Linked DNA regions of Arabidopsis thaliana. The protein of the gene in region 1 interacts with the protein of each later gene in a pairwise test. Each region holds a gene or a part of one and is shown on either strand. Other genes may lie near its edges.

What was found. Proteins that work in one complex are often made in the same cells at the same time.
Region 2: the proteins of bZIP4 (region 1) and AT3G57480 interact in a two-hybrid assay, tested with the Arabidopsis thaliana proteins (one large-scale study listed by BioGRID).
Region 3: the proteins of bZIP4 (region 1) and AT1G72570 interact in a two-hybrid assay, tested with the Arabidopsis thaliana proteins (one large-scale study listed by BioGRID).

Annotation. Positions count from the first base shown.
Region 1 is NC_003070.9:21,863,869-21,871,045, forward strand, and holds bZIP4 (basic leucine-zipper 4), read left to right. Parts: upstream 1-4,321; 5' UTR 4,322-4,393; coding exon 4,394-4,840; downstream 4,841-7,177. Other genes in the region: CW7, read left to right, coding at 278-412, 754-808, 1,381-1,503, 1,795-2,072. UniProt on the Arabidopsis thaliana protein: Probable transcription factor involved in somatic embryogenesis. Acts as a positive regulator of BHLH109.
Region 2 is NC_003074.8:21,276,324-21,283,431, forward strand, and holds AT3G57480 (zinc finger (C2H2 type, AN1-like) family protein), read right to left. Parts: upstream 3,049-7,108; 5' UTR 2,797-3,048; coding exon 2,698-2,796; intron 2,411-2,697; coding exon 1,760-2,410; 3' UTR 1,398-1,759; intron 1,250-1,397; 3' UTR 947-1,249; downstream 1-946. Other genes in the region: AT3G57490 (Ribosomal protein S5 family protein), read right to left, coding at 3,501-3,662, 3,896-4,564; AT3G57500 (fission regulator-like protein), read left to right, coding at 5,657-6,028. UniProt on the Arabidopsis thaliana protein: May be involved in environmental stress response.
Region 3 is NC_003070.9:27,327,256-27,334,644, forward strand, and holds AT1G72570 (Integrase-type DNA-binding superfamily protein), read left to right. Parts: upstream 1-4,125; coding exon 4,126-4,213; intron 4,214-4,308; coding exon 4,309-4,906; intron 4,907-5,085; coding exon 5,086-5,168; intron 5,169-5,294; coding exon 5,295-5,303; intron 5,304-5,459; coding exon 5,460-5,548; intron 5,549-5,778; coding exon 5,779-5,852; intron 5,853-5,955; coding exon 5,956-6,006; intron 6,007-6,107; coding exon 6,108-6,184; intron 6,185-6,264; coding exon 6,265-6,443; downstream 6,444-7,389. Other genes in the region: PSD (ARM repeat superfamily protein), read right to left, coding at 67-156, 271-360, 491-2,212; AT1G72580 (uncharacterized protein), read right to left, coding at 7,151-7,389.

The sequences.
Region 1 (7,177 bases):
GGTACAGGACTGGAGGATCCAGATAATATTATTTCAACTACCTCTTGCGGTGCTTTAACATCCTCTCCTTATTTGAGTTTAGTACCTGCTATTTATTATCTTCTTCAGAGGATTGGCCTGTCTTCTTCTTTAGTTTTGCTTAGGCGTAGAGGAGTTTGGCTTTATGATTCCTATAAATAACTTAAGTCGTATGGTTAGGTTTCATGCATGGAAGTTGTTATACTGACCATAGTTTTTTTCCAACCTTGTTCATTGGCTTTGTCATTGATGTTTTCAGGTTCTGACAGATAAAGATCATTGCTATTGCGTACTACTTAATTCTCACGATGGGGCAGCCTTTCCAAGTGCAACTGTTAAAGATTCGAGTGATTCTAATACGAATGCTGACCCTAGAACTGTGAAAGATCCTAAGGTCTAGTTTTTTCCCACCTATGCTTCACTATTTTCAGCAGTTGCTGCCAATCATCTATCAATTATTCATTTGCCACCTGCTATGAGTTTCAAATAGATTCCTTAATTTGTGGTTAATGCTTGAAAATATCTTGTAACCATGTCATACAGAGGAATATGTCGGTAGTTTCACTGATGCTTGCAACGGTCGATCTTAAACAAATTAACTAAAGTATTGTTTGTGATTTTTGTAAAGATGATTTAACTTCAAGCTCAATGGTTTTCAAAAGGCCTATGGACACATTACATGGTCGTGACTTTCTAATGAGAAAGAAATTGACATGCTGGTGCTTTTGGTTGCAGGTTACTCTGTTTTCTGGGTTTGTCAGCTATCAGATGGTTCGAGAAGCCTATGAAGGTCACTTTACAGTTTCTTTTCTATTTCTTATTCAGTTTTAGAACCTAGTTCAATTCTCCAGCAACTTTTGTAGTTATGGTTTACTTGCCTTAGTCTTCTAGTACTTAGCACTATCATTGTCGATCTCGGTCTTTCATATTTCTCCCAAAATATTTGATGGAAAGTATATATTAAGGGTCCATGATAGTACGGAACTTGGTCTCGAGCTTGACTCCACTATAGCACACAGAATTCATTAGTGGTTATTCATGTCAGGGAAACATGCAGTCTTAATATTCATGCCTTTACTCATTTACTCAAAAAGTAAAGTCGAAATTTTTGGAAGTAGTATGGTTCGTTTAGAGATCAAGGAGGTGTGAATATGAAACGGTACCCAACCTGACAACCTCAAGATGGCTGGACTACAAAATTAACTTTTGTAGACATGGAATTTTGAGATATTAAGAGCTAAAAGACCTAAAGGAACCTATTGCTTGTTTCCTTGTCTATATAGGCTGAGATCGCTTTCGTTGATTTGGGCTAATTAATATTTTCACGCTTTATGTTTTTTCATCTAATAACTTTTATTACAGGGGGGAGGAATCGGTTTGGAAGTCTCCTATCTCTCGGTCATATTACAGGAAAAGCAGACAGACTTTATATGAGAGGCCCAGGAGGACGTGGAGAAGTTGAAGTAGCTGTTTCTGGCGTTGTAGGTACTTTTCATTTCTTATGCTTGAATGGCTCTTTATTTTCCTGTTAGTGTTTTGTTTCCCTATTTTCTCGAGTGTTACAGTGCAGTTAGTAATATTCCATGGAAGATAAAAAAAAAAAAGTAAAAACATAGAGAATGCCCTAGCCAACAATTGTCTTAGGTCGGATTGTCTTAATAGCAGCAATATTTAAGAAGTACAATCGCCAAAATTTAAGAGTAGGAGACTTGTTGAAATGTATATTGAAGACGTAGTATGGTTTAAAGGATGATTGTATAGAATTGCTTTTCTCAGATCAGAGCCAAGTAGTTTTAGGGCCTGTTTCACCTATGTCTTCAAAGAAGAGCATCGATCTCGGATCCATTTTCCGTAAAGCAGCCTCTGTTGCATCTGTCGCAGCTAAACATGCAATAGCAGCTGCTACTGCCTCTTATGATGAAGACGAGATGTTCCCTCTTAAATGCTGCTTAATGTCCATTTCATTACCATGGGACACTATTGCTCATGATCTTTTATTCAAGGTAACAAATGATTTCTCTTTAGCCACACCGGTCGTCAACAATAGACACTAATAGATCTTTTCGATATTGCTGATCGATTCCACTAATCGTCTTTATTTAGGCAACTCCACCAGTCAACATGGAGTAGCACACTCTGGAATGAAGCGTAGGAAACAGAAGTTTGTGTGTTTTGTCTAAATGTTTTTTTTTTTTGTACTTTGATTGAATATTCCTTTTGTGATGTTACTCGACTATGTGGTTTACCACAACCACTGTTATTACCTCAAGGAATAAATGAAAGTAAAGTTGTGAATTTGCAATCATCAAGTCTATATGTTTTGGCTACTCTTCTTGTTTAGTATAATGTGGACTCGCTCAGCCTATACTTTGACAAACAGAATGAATTTCGGTTAGTTAATCAAGGTCCGGTTATTTATATAAAACTTAAGTTCGGTTCGGATCGATAAATCTTTGATTCAGTTTGGTTCGGTTTTTAGGTCGATCCCTATGAGATACAGATGTCTTGCATAGAAAGTATAGAAGATATGGTATTTAAACATGTGAAATAAAACAGCTTTTTGCCATCTTTTGTTGGACTTTACTTGAGAATGTGGAATGCTAAAGAATAAAAAGAAATTAGGGTAGACAAATAAGGAGGAAGCACATGAATCCAACTCTTGGTGGTAGACATTTCTTATTAGATGACAAAACTCTGTTTTAGGTTAAACTAAGGTGTATAGCTTTCTAAGAAAAGGAATTGTGTTAAAATATAGATCGGTTGTTAGACATTTCCTAATTAGATGACAAAACTCTGTATCTGAGGTTAAACTAATGCTTCTATTTTAATAACAAAAAGGAATTATGTTAATATATAGAGAGTCGGTTATAGAAGTTGTGAAAATGTGAATGCATGTTTTAGTCCACTTACAAAAAGCCACAAAAAGTCACAAACAGTGGACTTTGGATTTTCTTGAAACGTGATTACAAAGGTCAAAATATAAGAATAGTATGTTCTTTAACATCTTTTGCCCTGGAAATAATTGTAGGCAAAAAAAAAATGACCCATTATCTAAATTTTTAATTTAACAAAAAAATAAAGTAAAATAGGCAAGATTGGTTTTATACCCCAATGGAGAAATATTTCAATATGTCACAGTATTATAAATTTTAACGGATAAATTTTCTTTCAAAACATGTAAAGATTTACGAAAATACGTACGAATATATTTACCCTACTTAATTAAAAAAAAAATGATTCAAAATTATAATGATACTATAAAGAGAATGCAGCTGTAGTTTCACTTGTATTGTTTACTTTATCTTACTAAAAAGATAAGAAAATCCAAACACATAATAAATAAACTAAGACGTAATATGCTTTTTGTTAGATTCTTCGCCATTAAGCTAAGCTCTCATCTTCTTCCTCTTGTGTCAAGACCTACACACCATTTTCTCCCCTAAGTCTTAACTTAATAAGTTGTGTAGAAACTTAAAAAAAATCTTTTATGTATAGAGTTTTATCTGATATTTTTTTTGTCAATTACATGTACTTAATATGCGAGCTTGAATCTGGAATCGTTTCTAGCAGTAGAAGGATAAAGTGCGTGCCCTCTTTTTATCACATTGAAAAAAAAGTATATGAAAATGATGCATTTTATTGGTTTGAACTCTGAACCTACTGAGTATCTATACCAAGAAATCTTACACAAAATTGGTCTAATAACTAATATATATTTTGAGGCCCCAAATCAAAATTTTATGTGCTTGTGCCAAGGAAGGATCGGTCATGATAGATTGATAGTAACACAACGACAATACTAACAGAAACCAATAGGCTATAAATCCTATTCATTTTATTTTTTTTACAATATAGTTATATTTTACAAGTTTTTCAGATATTATTGACCCTCTAGTATTTTACCAATTATATAGTTTAAATGGTGACAACCTTAAACACCCAGTCCTTTATATTAATCAAAAAAACAAAAAAAAACAAAAAAAACAATAATCTTACAATGACAATGTGAAATTAATACACTATCTCTGTAGTTAAAAAGTAGTGCTACGAAAGTGATAAAAGTTAAAAAGCAGTATCCAAACAAAAGGTATAAAAGGATAAAAAAACAAAAGTTAAAATAATACAGTAATAATGTTATCTAGAGCACTAATCGACAAACATTCCAATTAATCTCTTAGATTGACTCTGATTATGACATTAATACTTAGCACTTTTTTAGTGGACAATATAACCCCAATGTGAGTCCCACATGTTATTCCTCATTCCTCTCTATAAATAGCCACTCTTGGTTCATTTTGAATCCTCCCCTTCCTCTCTAGCTTTCATTCTCTAGCTTTAACACAAATTATACCAATATCTTTTGCCACTTACATCAATGTTTTATACTAATATGGAGACGGTTCATAACTGCTTCAATGATGCTACGATAACCGGTGATGAAATCATTGATATATTGGCGTTTCTTCAATCAGACGAGTCGGACAATCCAAGCGGTATAAACGAGGTAGTACCGGTGGATGATAAGAAGAGAAGACGGACGATATCAAACCGGGAATCGGCCAAGAGATCGAGGATGAAAAAGAAGAAACGTTTTGAAGAGTTAACTGAAGAGGTGAACCGGTTAAACATAAGAAATCAGGAGCTGAAAAACCGGTTAGCTAATGTTGTTAGTTGTGGTAATTTTATATCTAGGGAGAATAACCGGTTGAAAACCGAATCGGTTTGCCTTGAGATAAGGCTTTTAGAGTTGTACCGTTTTTTAGTGGCCATGCAATCGCCAATCTCAACGAGTGTAAATTACATCACAACGCTCGAGATTTAAGTTTGAAACAAAATAAACAGAAAAACGATGCCAAGTAACTTTGAGCATTTTTGTAAAGGTCAAACGTTTTATACTATGAATTTCACATTTTGGTTCAAACTTCAAAGTTATGCATATGTGTATATATGTAAACTGTATGGATAATATTTGTGAAACTTGATTCCCTCCACATAAACACAATCATAAATATGTTGTCAAGACCTAAACAAGACGTGCCGAAACAAGACCGGTTCACAGTCAAAATGAATCAAAATTTTCAAAATTTTATTTTTCCTCCAAAAGCCGAAAGACAAACATCAAGTTCAATAAGCCTAAGCAGAATACTAAAAGTTTGGTGAACGTAACGAAGTAGCCAAACATAACAGTATAACACTAGAAATTTCCCTAAGTTAACACTTTTGTTTTTACCTATAAACATAAACTATTAGGACGAAACTCTAAACTTGCTAGCTCCATGAAAATGTTGTTGTACAATTAACTTTTGAATTTTTAAGACCTTTAACAGTATCGTCTTTAAGTAAGCCTATATATATACACAGATAATGTAGAATTTTAAGACGTAATTATCTTCTAAAATTAATAATTGATTGAGTTTAACAGTATGATTATTTATTACCTTTTTAATGAAGAAAATGTCCCATCCCAAAATCACAACAACCTTTTGATAGTGTGCACTATATGTTGGGTTTGAAGAAAAATCTTGGACCAAATCACACAAAGGAAAACGTGGGGTTTAATTTCTTTGTGTGGCTAATTAAGTGTATAGATATATATATATATATATATATATATATAATCATATTCATATACATTAAGAGATGCATGCGCATGGTGCATGGAACGAAACGGATATTTTAAAGGGTGAAATTGTTAAATGATATTTGAACTAAACAGCTAAATATAGTATGAAACACAATCGGCATTAGCTAAAATCTCATGTTAATTTTTATAATTAAGTTCACAAAATCCATGTTATTTTTTAAAACACATGCAGTCATTACCATTCTACTTACTTACTAGTCCATATTTTTATAAATGACTTATCATATGAATACCTAGTCCATATGCATATTGTTTAAGTCTATATTTATGTAAATGTTACTATCACAATTCACAATATTCACTAGCTTTGGTTTAAAACATGGAACAGAAGTAAACCCACAATAGTACTTACTTAGGTAAGAAGAAATAATTAAAGGAGACTTCAAATTAAATAAATTGTCTATATACAAGGAAACTTCATCGAAAAAATATCATAAGATTAATCATTTCCAAGAATTGTACTGGAGCTACCAACGTTAAGGAACAAAGAAAATAAGGTAGTGTCACCGTGTCTGGAGAAGGAAAAAGATAGATGTGTTATGTGATGGGATCTTCTCGGTGGATATCATATAAAGCTCTCATCAATATTGAACCCAAATCTATTTTTTGTCACTTTTATTCGGCCGACATATCTTCGCAGAAGTTCTACATAAATGTTATCTTTTCTGAACCCTAAACAAGTATATTTTGTAGATATTTAAGATGTCGGCTGTATAAAGATAAAATTTCTCTGACATATAAAAAAGATGATACAATTTCTCTTTCTCTTTCTTAAGATATTTCAAAGATGATTAATCATTGATTCGTAAGCTTAAAATGGATCATTTTCTAGTACTCAAATCACCCGTAAAATCTCTATTTCACATAAAAAAATATGAGATGAGACATATATTTGCTATATTATATGGAATATGGTGGGTATAGATATTATAGAACATCGACACTATGCGAAGAACAATTATTCGTAGTTTAGGCTTTATGTAGTACTTGATTCTTACTGTCTTACATACTAAATATTCAGGATATATATAACATGAGAAAATGGTATATATATACAAAAACAAATTTTGATCAAAACGAATGATATACAAATTTGTTTTACGTTTTCACATTTTAAAAATATAATTTTGATATTTATATATATCATTCATCAATATATTTCTTTCTTTTTTAATTATTTGAAATTAATTTGGCTAAATAATATAGACAATTAACCAGTTTTTTGTTGAGCTAAAAAGAGTTTGACTGTTTTAAGTACGTACCATTTGATTTTTCTGTTATTAAACTATTTATCTCACATACTACTAGCTAGTCTTGTCCAAAGTTTTATTGAATTTTTATGGAATACTATCAAACTTATATATAAAAAAAAAAAATTCCAAACGTCACTCCAGCTACATGTTCATCTATCAAACTGATCATATAGTTTGAGAATGTATTATGAAAGTTGGAAATTTAATCTCAACTAATTGAACCAACTGAATTAATCATATAATTAAAACCAAATTGAAAGTC
Region 2 (7,108 bases), on another chromosome or scaffold:
CTTTTGATAATTTGATTATTAGGCTAATTAGTGAAGCGACTATTATCACTTGTCATATTCTATGTACTTTTGAAGGCATCAGTAACAACTGGTTTCTATTTGTCGACATCGTAAGTGTCGAATGTTAGTGCAGTCCCTCTACTGTATATCATCGTAAGTCAAAGATACAGAGAGACACTTTTTCTCTAACTTCTAAACCCTAACTTTATTTTCATGGGTAATTAATATCGTCCGATGCACTGTAACTTTTATTTAACCTACAAACTCTCTCGGGCTTCTTCTCCACAAGGTTGATTCCGAAGGTCAGTGATCATCATCTCTATTTAATTTGGTAATTCTTTTTGTCACAGCACATGTTTGTTTTGGTTTGTCTTTTTACAGTCAAAACATGCAAGGAGCTATAATAGTACAATGTTTCCCAAATTTTTAGGAAATTGCTAATTCTGCGTTGAAGGTAGCACGATATGGGCATAGACGTTTTGTTTTTTTTGGCAACAAGAACAGCCTAAGAAGTGGTTTTGATTATTAGGTTAGCTTGCGAGATCACTATTATCACTTGTCAGATTCTATGGATTTAACCAATGGTTACTTATGCTTTCAAAAACCCTTGCTTAAATCCAGATCAATCAGCAAAGTGATAATAGATTATGTGTATTTAATTTACGACATTGATTCCGGGGTCAAAGCTACTTTTTGGTGAGAAGCCATAAATTGAAGGATTTTACACACTTCTATATCTGTCTTGAGTTTAGGTACTTTGTGGCCGATGAAGCCAATATTGTTCTACTTTTGGTTGTCAAATAGTTTATTAAAACAAACAGTGAATCATAGAAATTTTGAAACAGATAAATCCTATCCATAGGATATCTTTGAGTATCTTGTAGACATAAATCATCTCTTAAATTAAAATCAATTAATCTCTTTATACAAAAGAGTTATCTTGTTTCATGGAAACATTTATGGAGAATAATATAAAAACCTTTAGTAAAAGAAAAACACCCTTTTTTGGATTATCTAGGACCGATCACTCCTCTCTAACTATGACCATTCCTCCCAAAAATCGTCCTAAAACCTTCTTGTGCTCTCTGATGATAGCAAGTTGCTTTTCCTGTTCGTAAATAATCAAACCTACGAATGGTAATCCCATTGCCATGATTAGATCTGTAACACCCTCGGGAGTTGACCACATCGATTTCACATATCTTGCTACCGCACCCACCACCATGACTGGATTTCTAACTGTAATTAACTGCTCTTACGAAAAGAATAAACATAAACATATATTATAGTCAATACCTAAATCGGATGATAATATATGCTAAACAGAGAGAAAGAGCAAAATATATCAAGTCCAAAGGAAGAATCTACACAATCAAAATTTATTAAAGAGAGAGAACCTGACAGGTCAGGGCAAAGTGGTTCCCGAACTCAAAAGCAAAGCTGTGCTCCAAACCCTACCTGTCTCGCCCTCTTATATAGCAAATTCTCAGATTGTGTGCCTTCCAAGTCCCGTTATTTTCGGCCCGAAGCCCAACACATACTTCGAAGTATTATCCAATCAATTATTTATTTTAAAAGAAATTATATTTTCTTAATTAAGATTTGAGAGGGATTTTCCAAATTCAGTTATCTCCTAGACCAGGAAAACCAATTCGACAAAACAAAAACCGAGCTCAAAAGAATATGGAAATTTCTTTCTTCCTGGCTGTGTTACAAAGAATGATACAAATCACACAAATATAAAACCACTTCCTTTCTTCTAGGCTTTAGAAGTGCCACGATGATCCTTATCGATATGCTTCAATAGATCCACCGGATCACGAAACCCTCTACTACATTTGGGACAAACATCAACCGTAACTTTGCCACAATTCTGTTTTCCATTCCTCTCTTGCGTTTTCTCTGAATTGCCATCATTGCCACTCGCAAACTGTAACTTCTGGCTTATATCGTTACCGAGTCTACTAATACTTGCTTCCGCAGAAGCGAAAAGACTAGACCATCTCGAAGAAGATGATGATGATGCAGGAGCTTCTTTTGTGTTTGTACTCAAGAAACCCATGAATGAGAAACTCGATTCAGGCTTCTTGGGTCCAGAACAACTATGATCAGGTCCAAACCGATGTTTCAAACAATGATCGATGCTACAATCTCGACATTTAATAGTATTGGAGAATGTCAAGAGTTCTCTGCATCTAGGAACAGGACATTTCTTCTTCTTGACAGCTTTTTCGTAGTTAGATGGATCACAGTCTGTATTAACATGTTTCTCCCAGGTGATGTTGGGATCTTCGTCAGGGTTTAATCTAACTCCTTTAGCACATAATGGACAAATAACCACAGTGACATCTCCTCTGTTTCCTTTTGGACAATCGTGTTTCATATAGCTACGATGATCCAGACAATACACCTTCAATAAATTTTCAAAAAAAAAGTTCAAAAGATTTGATATAAGCTTCCTCTCCGGATTCAGATAAAACAAATGAATCTTTTCAATCATTTAGCATCTAATTCTTTCGAAATGACGATTAGTCTAGATTCAAATCAACTACTGAATTTGAACATAAAAAGAGACGAACTCATGTATAAATCATATAATTGACCAGAGACTTAGAAGAAGCCACGATGATTCTCTATACAGAAAAATCATGGCATTGGAATGGTATCGAAAGAAAACGGAGAAGGAGAAAGGGAGACCTGAAGGCAGCGATCGCATGTGAAGGGCAAGAAATCGATCTGTTTGCAATAATCGACGGAGCAGTGTTTACCCAGATCTGGAAATTCTGGAGTTCCCATTGTTGAGACCGAGCTTTCGAGAATATTACACAAACAACAATTCCGACAAAAAAAAATCGAAAAGCAATCGTAGGATAGTATAGAGAAGTAAGAAAAGATGGTTTATTAGAGTTTCCCGGCGAGATAGACACACCGGGAAAAGAAAATCCCCAGATTCCGAGAATTTAGATCAACAGAAAAACTCGGGCAAGGAAGAAGAAGAAGAAATTTGTAAAGGAAAGTCAACGTCATTCCCATCTTCTTATTTTCTTCTTTTTTCTCTCTTTGACTAAAAAAAATTCGATTTCACCAACCAATTAAAACTGTGACTGGGCTTACTAAGGTCTAAGGCTTTTATTCATTTCATTTCAAAACTTGGGCTTTAAAACATATTCAACGATGTTGGGAACAGGCCCATTTATCTAGCCTTCTCTTCTGCAATAAAGTATTTTTGTCTGATTAAAACATATTTTCCAGGTAGATTATATAAATCTCGTTGTAATCATACCTTATATCATTCACTGCTAGATCCAAATTCCATATTGTTTCAAGCCGTAAACCCCAATTATAAGAAGATTCGTATGATTGAATTCAAAGTGTAAAACAGATACGTATCTAGATTACTAAAGACATTATAACCGACAAATCAAAAAACCAAGGTTGGAACAAAATCTGACTTGAGCTTTTGACAACACTCAAGTCTCATGTAACAAGATAAAGTGGTATTACTCTACGCTTTTGTCTACAACAACCTCGCTGATCTTGACGCCAGGAGGTATAAGCAAGAAATCAGTGTGCTCTTGGTATGGTGATTTTGAGAATCTCGTCTCTTTCCAGAATTCCGGTGTAAGGAATCCGTATGTCTTCTGCAGACAATCAAATGTTGCCTGACCAAAAAAAAACAACAACAATTTGAATTACATTAGTCAGAATTTAGCGTAATCAAACAACCTAAAGCATTTCAATTCAAGCAATCTTAAACACAAACTCACATGCTCAAACCAATACAATCAGCTAAATCCTAATCTTCAATATAAATTCACTTAACTGGTAATGATTACTTTTTCACTGCCTAATTCAGAGTTCATCAAACCAAAACAGCCATTGTGAAAGTACATACCTTGACGAAGTTTCCAAGAGTTTTGGTGGATCCTCTAGAAGAAGTAAAGACATCATCAATTCCAGCGAATTGAAGAACCTTCTTAGGAACTCTAGCCGCCACAATACCAGAACCTCTCGGAGCTGGAACCATACGTACAGTAACAGATCCACATTTCCCGGTTACCTTACACGGAACCGTATGTGGTTTTCCAATCTTGTTACCCCAATAACCTCTTCGTATCGGAACCACAGACAATTTCGCGAGAATGATCGCGCCTCTGATCGCCGTCGCAACTTCCTTGGAGCATTTGACTCCTAATCCGACGTGACCGTTACTATCTCCGACGACGATGAAGGCCTTGAATCTCGTTCTCTGACCGGCTCTGGTTTGTTTTTGAACCGGCATGATTTTCATCACTTCGTCTTTCAATGAAGGACCGACGAGTAAATCTATGATCTGGTACTCCTTGACTGGGAGAGAATGGAGGTAGATCTGCTCAATCTTTGTGATCTTACCTTCCTTTACGAGACGACCAAGCTTAGTCACTGGCACCCATTTCTCCTCCTCTGGAGCACGACCTGCACGGCGACCACGACCTCTCGGACCACCTCTTCCACCGCCGCGACCACCGAATCCACGTCCGAAATCGCCGCGATCTCCACCACGTTCGACACCACGTTCCGCCATTGTCGATGCACTCGATTTTGCGTAGAAGAGCTAGGAGATTTGATTCAGTTTTCGGTGTGTTAGCGAGAAACGGCGGCAAAAAATGATTCTACTTATATCTCCAGACGAGAAGAGATAGTTAGGGTTTTCTGGCTAAAATGAGCTTATTGGGTTTATAAGCCCATTACTAAACTAAGGCCCAACATATGATTCGTGTAATGTAATGACTGTTTCTTGATTCGTTTTTTTTTTCTGTGTCAGTTATTGCATGTTTCTTGAAAAATATTTTTTTGGGGTGATAATTTTTTCACTGCATAAACATTATTGAGCTGACACATTGACATATTTAAAAATAAGAAGATACAGAGATAGAACAAGATGAACAAACCCCACCATTGATATTACCTGCCAAAAATCAACAGACAAATAAAAAGACAAGACCACGTAAAAATCTAAATTAGTTACTAGTGAGTTCACAGATAAAAATGAATTTATATATATATATATATATATATATAGTCATGATTATCACATTTATTTTGTAAGAGTAAGTAATGGTTAGTTGAGTCAAAGAGGACTCAATAGGGGAGAGTAGAAGTGGCAGAGAGAGAGGGTGGTGGTCATTGAAGGAGTAATGGGGACAACAAAACAAACACCTCTTCGTTTTAACCAAATGCATGTGGTTTTTGGTTTTTACACACACTGAGGACAAATTGGGAATTGCGAATTTTAATTTTTTCATATATAAACTGTTTTACTATTTACGTCAAAAACAAAAGCAAAAAACTTTTTTATTTTTCTCATTGTATGTTTTTCACATATATATACATATACATAAATATCCTTAAATTCAATGCCTATGAACCAATTAAGTTCATAGAATCATGGATAGAAAAGGAAAAAGAAACCATCATAATTACAATGAGACCATTAGTATTCAATGTTATAAAGATGTTTTTTTAGGAGTAACATTTTTTTTTTAATGAAAGTAATTTGTTTTCTTAAAGTCGATATAATTAACCCCACTCTCTCTACTTCAATCAAGTCTTAAACCTTTGCTCCCACAAGCTCACCTGAAACTCTCTCTCTTCCTCTTCTCACACTGTCTCTCTCATGTTCGGAGCCACGGCAAGGCTCGATGACCAACTCAGCACCACACCAACCACCATTTATATAGACCCACCCTCCCAAGACCAGCCGAGTCACAACTCGGACCACCGTTCAATAGAAACACTCGTTGTTGTCTTAGCCGTCATCACCATTTTATCCGTCTTAGCCGGCGTTTTCGCTCGGCTTTGTGGCGGTCGCCACTTATCTCACGGCGGAGACCACGACATCGAAGGTTGGGTCGAGAGAAAGTGTCGTAGCTGCATCGATGCCGGCATTCCTGCCGTATCCGCTGCTCCTTCACCTCCACCGCCGCCACCGCCAGCAACGGCGGAAGAGCGGAGTAAGCCAGCAGCCGAGGAGCAAACCAAGAAGTGAAGTAAAAAAAAGGGTAAAACTACATTCTTCGTTTTAGCTTTAACACTATGTAATATCATTAATTTTGAAAACATGTTCCTTTTTTTGTTATGTACCTTAGTCTACGGACATTGATTTCGGAATTTCCTCAGATGTTTTATGATTATTTATGTCTTTCAAAAGAAAGAACAAAAGCAAAGTTCTTTGTCAACTTTTAACTTTAAATAAATCCGTTGAGATTAAAGAGCAACGGCATTAACCAAAAAAAACACCAAGATTTACTTTATCCTTATAGCAACAAAATAAGAGGAACATTCACGTAAAAAGTAAATCATTTAATACAATGGACTTTTGGTAAAGTAGGCCAAAACATAAGAGCATCCTTAATGGGGGATTTTAAACAAGTTTCTTAACAAAGAATAAAAAATTTATATGATTTAAATATTCATAAGTCTCTTAACTTTGATGAAATCTAGGCAAATTGTCTCTTAGTTAAGAGATAATTGGTCTTGGTTTCACCAAATTTAAGAAACCCATAATTAAAAATATTATTTATCTATACTTACACTTCAATTTTGTTTAAGAGACTTAAGCTTAAAAACTACCATTGAGGATGCTCTAAGGGTTCGCTTAAATGCCTTGGTCCTTTTGGTTGATTATGGGATTTAACATTTTTATGTAAGTACATTGATTATTGAATGGACTAAAGAGTAAAGTAGGCCACAATAATGCAAGCGCTCACTGAAAACTAGGTTAATTTTGGTATTTAGCATCTCTTATTGAAAAACACACTTATAAATTACTAGCATTTTCATGCAAAAAAAGAAGAAGGCATATTTCGATTTAAGATTTACAAACTTGGCCCATGTGACTTGTATCAACTATTTGCACAATTAAGAACCTTAGTATATACTATGAAACTCTATTCTCACTCCATTTTGCCTACCAAACTATAATGCTGAAATTGTGCATATTCCTTTTCATTTCTAGTACTAGTAAATCAAAATATTAGACAAATAATCTTATTACTTTATTCATGAAAATACAATAACAATAAATATTGGTGATTTTATATGTAAACAAATCTTTCGACTATTTTTG
Region 3 (7,389 bases), 5.5 Mb from region 1:
TGAGTACACCTGACCATAATTATTGCCAAAAAGTTTCATGAACAAGAGAATGGTAGAAACGAAAACCTGTTGACAGAGAGGGGTAAGCAGTAAAGACAAATAATCTGACTGCTTTTCAGCCGGGACATCCTCCAACCCTATGATTATGCCAATAGCCTACAGAAAAACGCATTAGGAGTTGAGAGATTTTTTTTAGAGTACTGAAAAAATTTCCTTTTTTCCAAGCAGAAGTACATATATGAAAACAGCAGCTTCAAGTGGTAGTCAAACCTCAAAAATGTGACTGCCATCTTCAGTTCCAGTAAGTTCTCTTGATGCAAAGTTCATAGTCGTCAACTGGGACAACGTATCTTGAAGGTTCTGATTTTTCATAAAAAGATAGTTAGACAAAAAAATTAAACAAGAAAATACATCGGATATACAAAAATGGATAACTAGCCTTCAGATCAAACGAGCTGTAGATAAGAGAAAATGAAAATCAAACCCTTACCTGCAAGATCTTGTCAATGAATGGTACAAGCTTTGATTTTAACAATTTCACGACTCTCATGAACAAGTAACCAGCTCTACGGCTCACATAGAAATTCTGGTGATGCAAACCCCTATCATCAAGGAAAGCACCAAGAACATTGGGAATGTACTGGGAGTTTTCCTGAATAAACTTCATGTACCTTGTTATGTTTTCTAAGTACACTAGTGCAACAAGTCTATGTGAATGACCAGGGAACTGTGTGGTCAAGAGCATCGGAATTAGTTCACTCAAACACCCAGATCCTGTTTTCATGGCCTCCTCGGTCATAGACTCTCCGAATGAATACAAAAGCGAGAGCGCAGCTTCCACTTCTTCAACATTGCTCTCCGATGAAGATTCAACAGCATTTGCTAGTGAGTTACGAATGAAATGCTGAGTAACTTCAGGAGCAACACGGCCCACTGTACGTAATAAGACAAAGAGATCTTTTCTAAACTCGGACATTCTATCTTCCTCCTCCAATCCAGTTTTATCCAGTGAATTAAGGTTATTACGATACATAGGATCATAGCAAATCTGAATTCTTATCACTTCGAGAATCTGTGTAATGTGGAGCAGCTGCTTCTCCTTCAATGCAGGGAGGCCTTTGAGAGTGGAAACATAACCCAGGAGAAACTGGACGATGCTAAAAGTAGAATCCACCTCACACTTCTGCATGACATAAAAAACTGATGGCAGAACTTCGTTCAGCAAATCCATGGAGACTGCCTTGGTGTCCTCTGAGTTCAAACGCTTATGGCATTCTAGAACCTCAACAGCATAGCCAGTAAGCAAAGCAGATACTTTTGATACCAAATCGGAATCAACATCTCCGGATACTAAACCAAAAACACGACTGATTTGAAGGGTCTGCAAAAGGGGCAGTTTTGACTGGGGATCCATCCGCTTAGAAACCATGGCTAAGACACACCCAGCTGCTGCACCGCGGACTTGTTCAGACAATCCATCAGACAAAATCAATTCAAACAGCAGTGGAACAAATGCATCATTGGCAACCAAACCAATGTCAATCCAAGATACAAATCTTCTCATGCAATCTAACACAGTAGCAGAAAGATCAGGATCGGAATTCTTGTACATCGATACAATGTCATACCATGCTCTGGCTATCTGAGGGACACATTGTTGCCTCATTGCATCCTTGACTCGAGCAGCAACAGATATCTCTTCTGGTGTCCGGGGGTAATCCAAGCTAATCAACTCATCGTCCAAGGCATTCAAAACCCGACAAAACATGTCGATCACAACAGCACCTTTGCACAAATGAAGCATGAAATCAAGAAACACCGAGGACCAAATCAAAGGGTACTCATAATAGATCAAAGTAGCCAAAACCTGTGCAAGCTTGTTTTTAACAAAAGGAGGTCCTTCCACAACTCTACCAGCATTCTCATTATCAATAACCTCCAAACAAGCCATTGAAAACACTGATTTCCTCACATAACTCTGCTCATCCAAGCTCATAGATCCATATTTAACCCTTAAAACATCCTGAAGCGTTTGCAAACACCAGAACTGAACTTGGACAAGCTTAGAAAACCATAACTTCTCAATACATATACTACAAATAGAAGGAGTCTCTTTGATTTGCTGACAATAAGTAACAGCTTGAGACTTTAAAGCCGAATCAACAGCACCAGTTTCAAAGCTAATTACTATTGCCTGTTCAAGGTCATCCATTGTGTTAACTTAACCCCACTACAAAAACCCTAAAAACCGAGATTTCAAAATCCAGTCCTGGTTTGTTGCATACAAGTCAAACAATGCCTTGAATTAGTATCGTCAGCTAGCTTCTCTCCTTCACTGTTCTCTTCCCTTATCAGATTTTGATGCGAAGAAGAAAAAGACGAAACTTTTAGTGGGTTTCGCTTGAGAGCTTACCAGAAAGTAAGGATCGTGGCGATTTTAGCGATCGGATTTATGAGAGTGGGAGATATAGTAGAAAAGGGATTATGGAAACCCTAGTTTGGGTTTCTCTTTGAATTCAAAGAATACTTTTTTTTGGTGAGTTTCTAGAAAATTTCCCTTACGGATTTATAAATATGAGGAAAATTGTGAGACTGGAGAGAAGACGGAGCTGTAGGGTTTTTTTTTTTTTATACACAGATTTTTATTAGCTTGCAGAATATTTTCCCAGAGAACTATAAATATTATTGCCAGCGAATTGAAAATTAACCGTCATCTGAATTCAGTAAATCAGCCCATGGGCTTGAATCTCTCTCACCTTAGGCCTTAGGTGTTGCATACTGATAGATTAAGATAGACATGTATAAATGTTTTGTGAGTTAGCAAATATAATGGTGTTTTTTCACTTTCTTAATCTAATGTTTTATAAAACAAATTGTCACATTAATACATATAACTAAACTACTTACTGTGAAATTATTCATGGAGACAACTTCTGTAGCTAAGACCTCTCGATTTTTATTTTGTATACTACAAACTAGGTAATTGTAAGAAAAGGTTTGTTCTGTAATGGCATTGTCGATTACCTCGTAGAAGAGGTTGGAATATTTCCGATGCCCGTAGCAAGATATAAAATCACAAATTCATTTTTCAGTTGTTAAAGAAAACAATTGTGGCTTTTTGTGTAGAACGACATTTCGTTATGTGGGTGGCGAGTATGGACAAACTACCCACTAAGTCTTGGTTAACAGCTTGGAACACAATTTCATTTTCTATCTATAAGCAACATATGCAATATAATCAACCAAATAAGAGAGATCACTTATTCTTTTGTTCTATCATATTTTGTGTGTCTGTTTTCAAAGGTTATACCGTCACATTATCCGCTTCTCACACTTGAGGCAAATTTTATGAGTTAGATAGCATATTGCCAAACACTCCAGCTATATATATCTTTTATCTTTTAGATTGATCTTTGTCTAATCTGCGAAAACAGCAAGATCATTTCAGGCTTCTCCATCACAGTTAGAATCATTTTCAAACGGATCGATTGAATGAGCAATCAAAAACACATTTTTATCGTCTAAGGAGAAATTTCCTTGCAATACTACTAATTTTAGTACAAATTTTGTTTACTTTTAAATTATGTAATGTTCTTTAAGTTTATTAAAAAATATCCCAAATTATATCGAAAGAAAGACATTAATAAAAGAAATGTATTATTGTCTAATTAACATATTTCGAAAGAAACAAAATACTGACTTTTTTAAGCGCTACTGTGTGCTTTTTTTACGGAAAAGTTAATCAAATACCAAAGAACGAAAATTTTCATTGTAGTGTGTCATGTGTATCTCCCATATATATATACGTATACATCGAAAAGATCCGAGGGAGAGTGGGCACAAAACTCTAGAAGTCAGATGCAAGTGTGTGTGAAAGAGAATGTGAAAGAGTGAGGGAGAGAGAAACTTCCTCTTCCTTTCTTTCATGCTTACGACAAAACTTCACCGCCACCTGTTTTGTCTCAAATCTTTTTTCCACCTTTTTAATTATATAATTTATTAAATGTTTTAGACTTATGAAAAATATTAATGTATATTCGCACGTATGAGACTACAAATCATATAAAACGAAACCCTATACATATAAACTAAGAGCGAGAAAGACAGCTAGAGAGAGAGAGAGAGATGAAGAAATGGTTGGGATTTTCATTGACACCTCCTTTGAGAATCTGCAATAGTGAAGAAGAAGAACTTAGGCATGACGGTTCCGATGGTACTCTCTTCTTCACACATCATCCCCCTGGTATATATATGTTGTTGGTGTGGCCACTATTAATATTCTTAATTTGATTTCTATTTTATGTGTAGTTTGGAGATATGATATTAACTTTGATCATCATCATCATGATGAAGACGTTCCAAAGGTGGAAGATCTCCTCTCAAACTCTCATCAAACCGAGTATCCTATAAACCATAACCAAACCAATGTCAACTGCACCACTGTGGTTAACAGGTTAAACCCACCCGGTTACCTTCTCCACGACCAAACCGTAGTTACACCACATTACCCGAACCTAGATCCGAACCTTAGCAATGATTATGGAGGTTTTGAGAGGGTCGGTTCGGTCTCGGTTTTCAAATCTTGGTTAGAGCAAGGCACTCCAGCATTCCCACTCTCGAGTCATTACGTTACTGAAGAGGCTGGTACGAGCAATAATATTAGTCATTTTAGTAACGAAGAGACTGGTTATAACACCAATGGCTCAATGCTATCATTGGCTTTGAGCCATGGGGCTTGTTCTGATTTGATCAACGAATCGAATGTATCCGCACGGGTCGAAGAACCGGTTAAGGTAGATGAGAAGCGGAAGAGATTGGTTGTTAAACCTCAGGTAAAGGAATCCGTTCCTCGGAAGTCGGTTGATAGTTATGGACAAAGAACTTCTCAGTATCGTGGAGTTACAAGGTACGTACGTTATTAAATAATGACGTCTCAAACATTTGTTTTGGTTTAAATGATGTCTCAAACTTACACGTAAGAAAAATGTGAATGCCACAATTATGTTACTTATGTATATTTGTCATTTTATTTTGTAGATTATGTATAATTGTGTCGACACATATTTATGTTGTGCGTGTATACAGGCATAGATGGACAGGGAGATATGAAGCTCACTTATGGGATAATAGCTGTAAGAAGGAGGGACAGACAAGGAGAGGAAGACAAGGTCAGAAAAAACAAATACAAAATAATTTTCCGATTCAATATGCTATCATGCATCAATAATCTTACTAACAATTATTTAATTTTGGCTTCGTATGTACTTTCGAATTCGCTTCTTGATCAATCACAGTGTATCTTGGTAAGCCAGAACTTTATTTTACAACCTATTATGCATGAGATCCCTCGTTCATTTCTTGTTGCCCTATTTTTGGCCTTCGAAGTAAAAATTAACCTTGTTACCTTCTGATAATTATAGAAAAACATTTAATAGTAGAATTAATACTTACTAAAATAGGAGGGTATGATGAGGAGGAGAAAGCAGCGAGGGCATATGATTTAGCGGCTCTGAAGTATTGGGGTCCTACCACTCACTTAAATTTCCCTGTGAGTTTGATCTTTCTGGTCCCGTACCTAGCTCCACTTCTAACTCCTTTATTACATGCAAGTGTGTTTTATATATGTACACTTATATACATGCAACATAACAGTTTCCATACTTATTTCGATATTTTGGATCTTGAATGTAATCATTTTCCGATTTTATTGACTTGATTTTGATGGAACTACATAGATTTGGCTTGTGATATCAGTTCCTTTGACGCTCTTTTATTCAGTTGAGTAATTACGAAAAGGAGATCGAGGAACTCAATAACATGAATCGGCAAGAATTTGTTGCCATGTTGAGGAGGTAATTACTCAACAGTGGGTTTGTAATGATATTTATGGACCTTATATAGTCATATGCATTTAACCATTAACAAACGCTTTGTAATTACATATCATAATCATAGGAATAGCAGCGGGTTTTCGAGGGGAGCTTCCGTGTATAGAGGAGTTACAAGGTTTGATTTGGACATATATGTGAAACTTGTATATATTTATATATGTACATGTACATGCATGGAATTAGATCATGATGATCATGCATGTATAACTCATGTAGGCATCATCAACATGGAAGGTGGCAAGCCAGAATTGGAAGAGTTGCTGGAAACAAGGACTTGTACCTTGGAACATTTAGTATGAACCACTTCTATACATATGGAATTATATCATAGCCTTTGAATTATTAAATATCACATTTTGTAACTATGATGAAGGCACGCAAGAAGAAGCAGCGGAGGCGTACGATATCGCGGCAATTAAATTCAGAGGCCTAAACGCTGTAACCAATTTCGATATAAATAGATATGACGTGAAGAGGATATGTTCAAGCTCAACGATTGTTGATAGCGACCAGGCCAAACATTCTCCCACCAGCTCTGGCGCCGGCCACTAACCGACACCGTAAACTCCTCGCCGGAGAGACTATTCCCACGTACGGTTGGTTTGAGGAAATAAGTTCGTCCAGTCTGTTTAATCATTTATGGTTTAATAAACATATATTCCTAAGTAATTGAGGCCGGTCTACATATATACAACTTTTTTAGCAAATTAAGTTATCAGAATCCACTATATATTATTCTCTATGATATACTTTGATTAAATTTCGTTTTTATTTTTAATTGAAAAAAGTTAATGCATTCATTATTTACAGGATCCATAACATAAGTGTTAATTAATTAGTATATATTAACTGCACCAAGTTGAGGAGAGGCGATTCCTCAATTTGTGTGCCTTCTTCTGTCGTGGTCGTACTTTAAGGAAAAGCGTTACAAATTTAAGTGAAACTTATTTAACTCATAATCAAATCCATCCAAGCCTTTGATAGTTTGATTAATTTTGAACCCGTATCGAGCTAATTCCCTCATGCCATGGTGAAAATAATTGGTGTCAATGGAAATTTGAAGGTTTCTATGGACTTCTTGAGATAAACTAAAGTAATATCAGATGTTAAAAAAAAAAAAAAAACTTTTTATATAATTTTTATTTTATTTATATGCTCGGTTACAAAGCCGGACAAATATCTAGCCGTCAAGAAACAAAAAAAGAACCAACATATGACATATATCACCATCATCGTTATTGTTATGATTCAACATTTAATTAGGGTATATTCTTGAAATCAACTTCAACTTCAACTAATTCTCTTTCTCCTTCTTTTAGCGGCAATGACTGTCCTATCTTTGTCAAACAATTGTTCAGAAGTTTTACACAGTTCATCATCTGATTGAACTTTTCCATTTCTTCGTCACTCAAAAGCGTATCATCTGTGACTTTTTCCTTCCCCAAATAAGTTTGTTCGAGTTTCTTTAGAACCTCCTCGACATCCTCCACATTCTTTT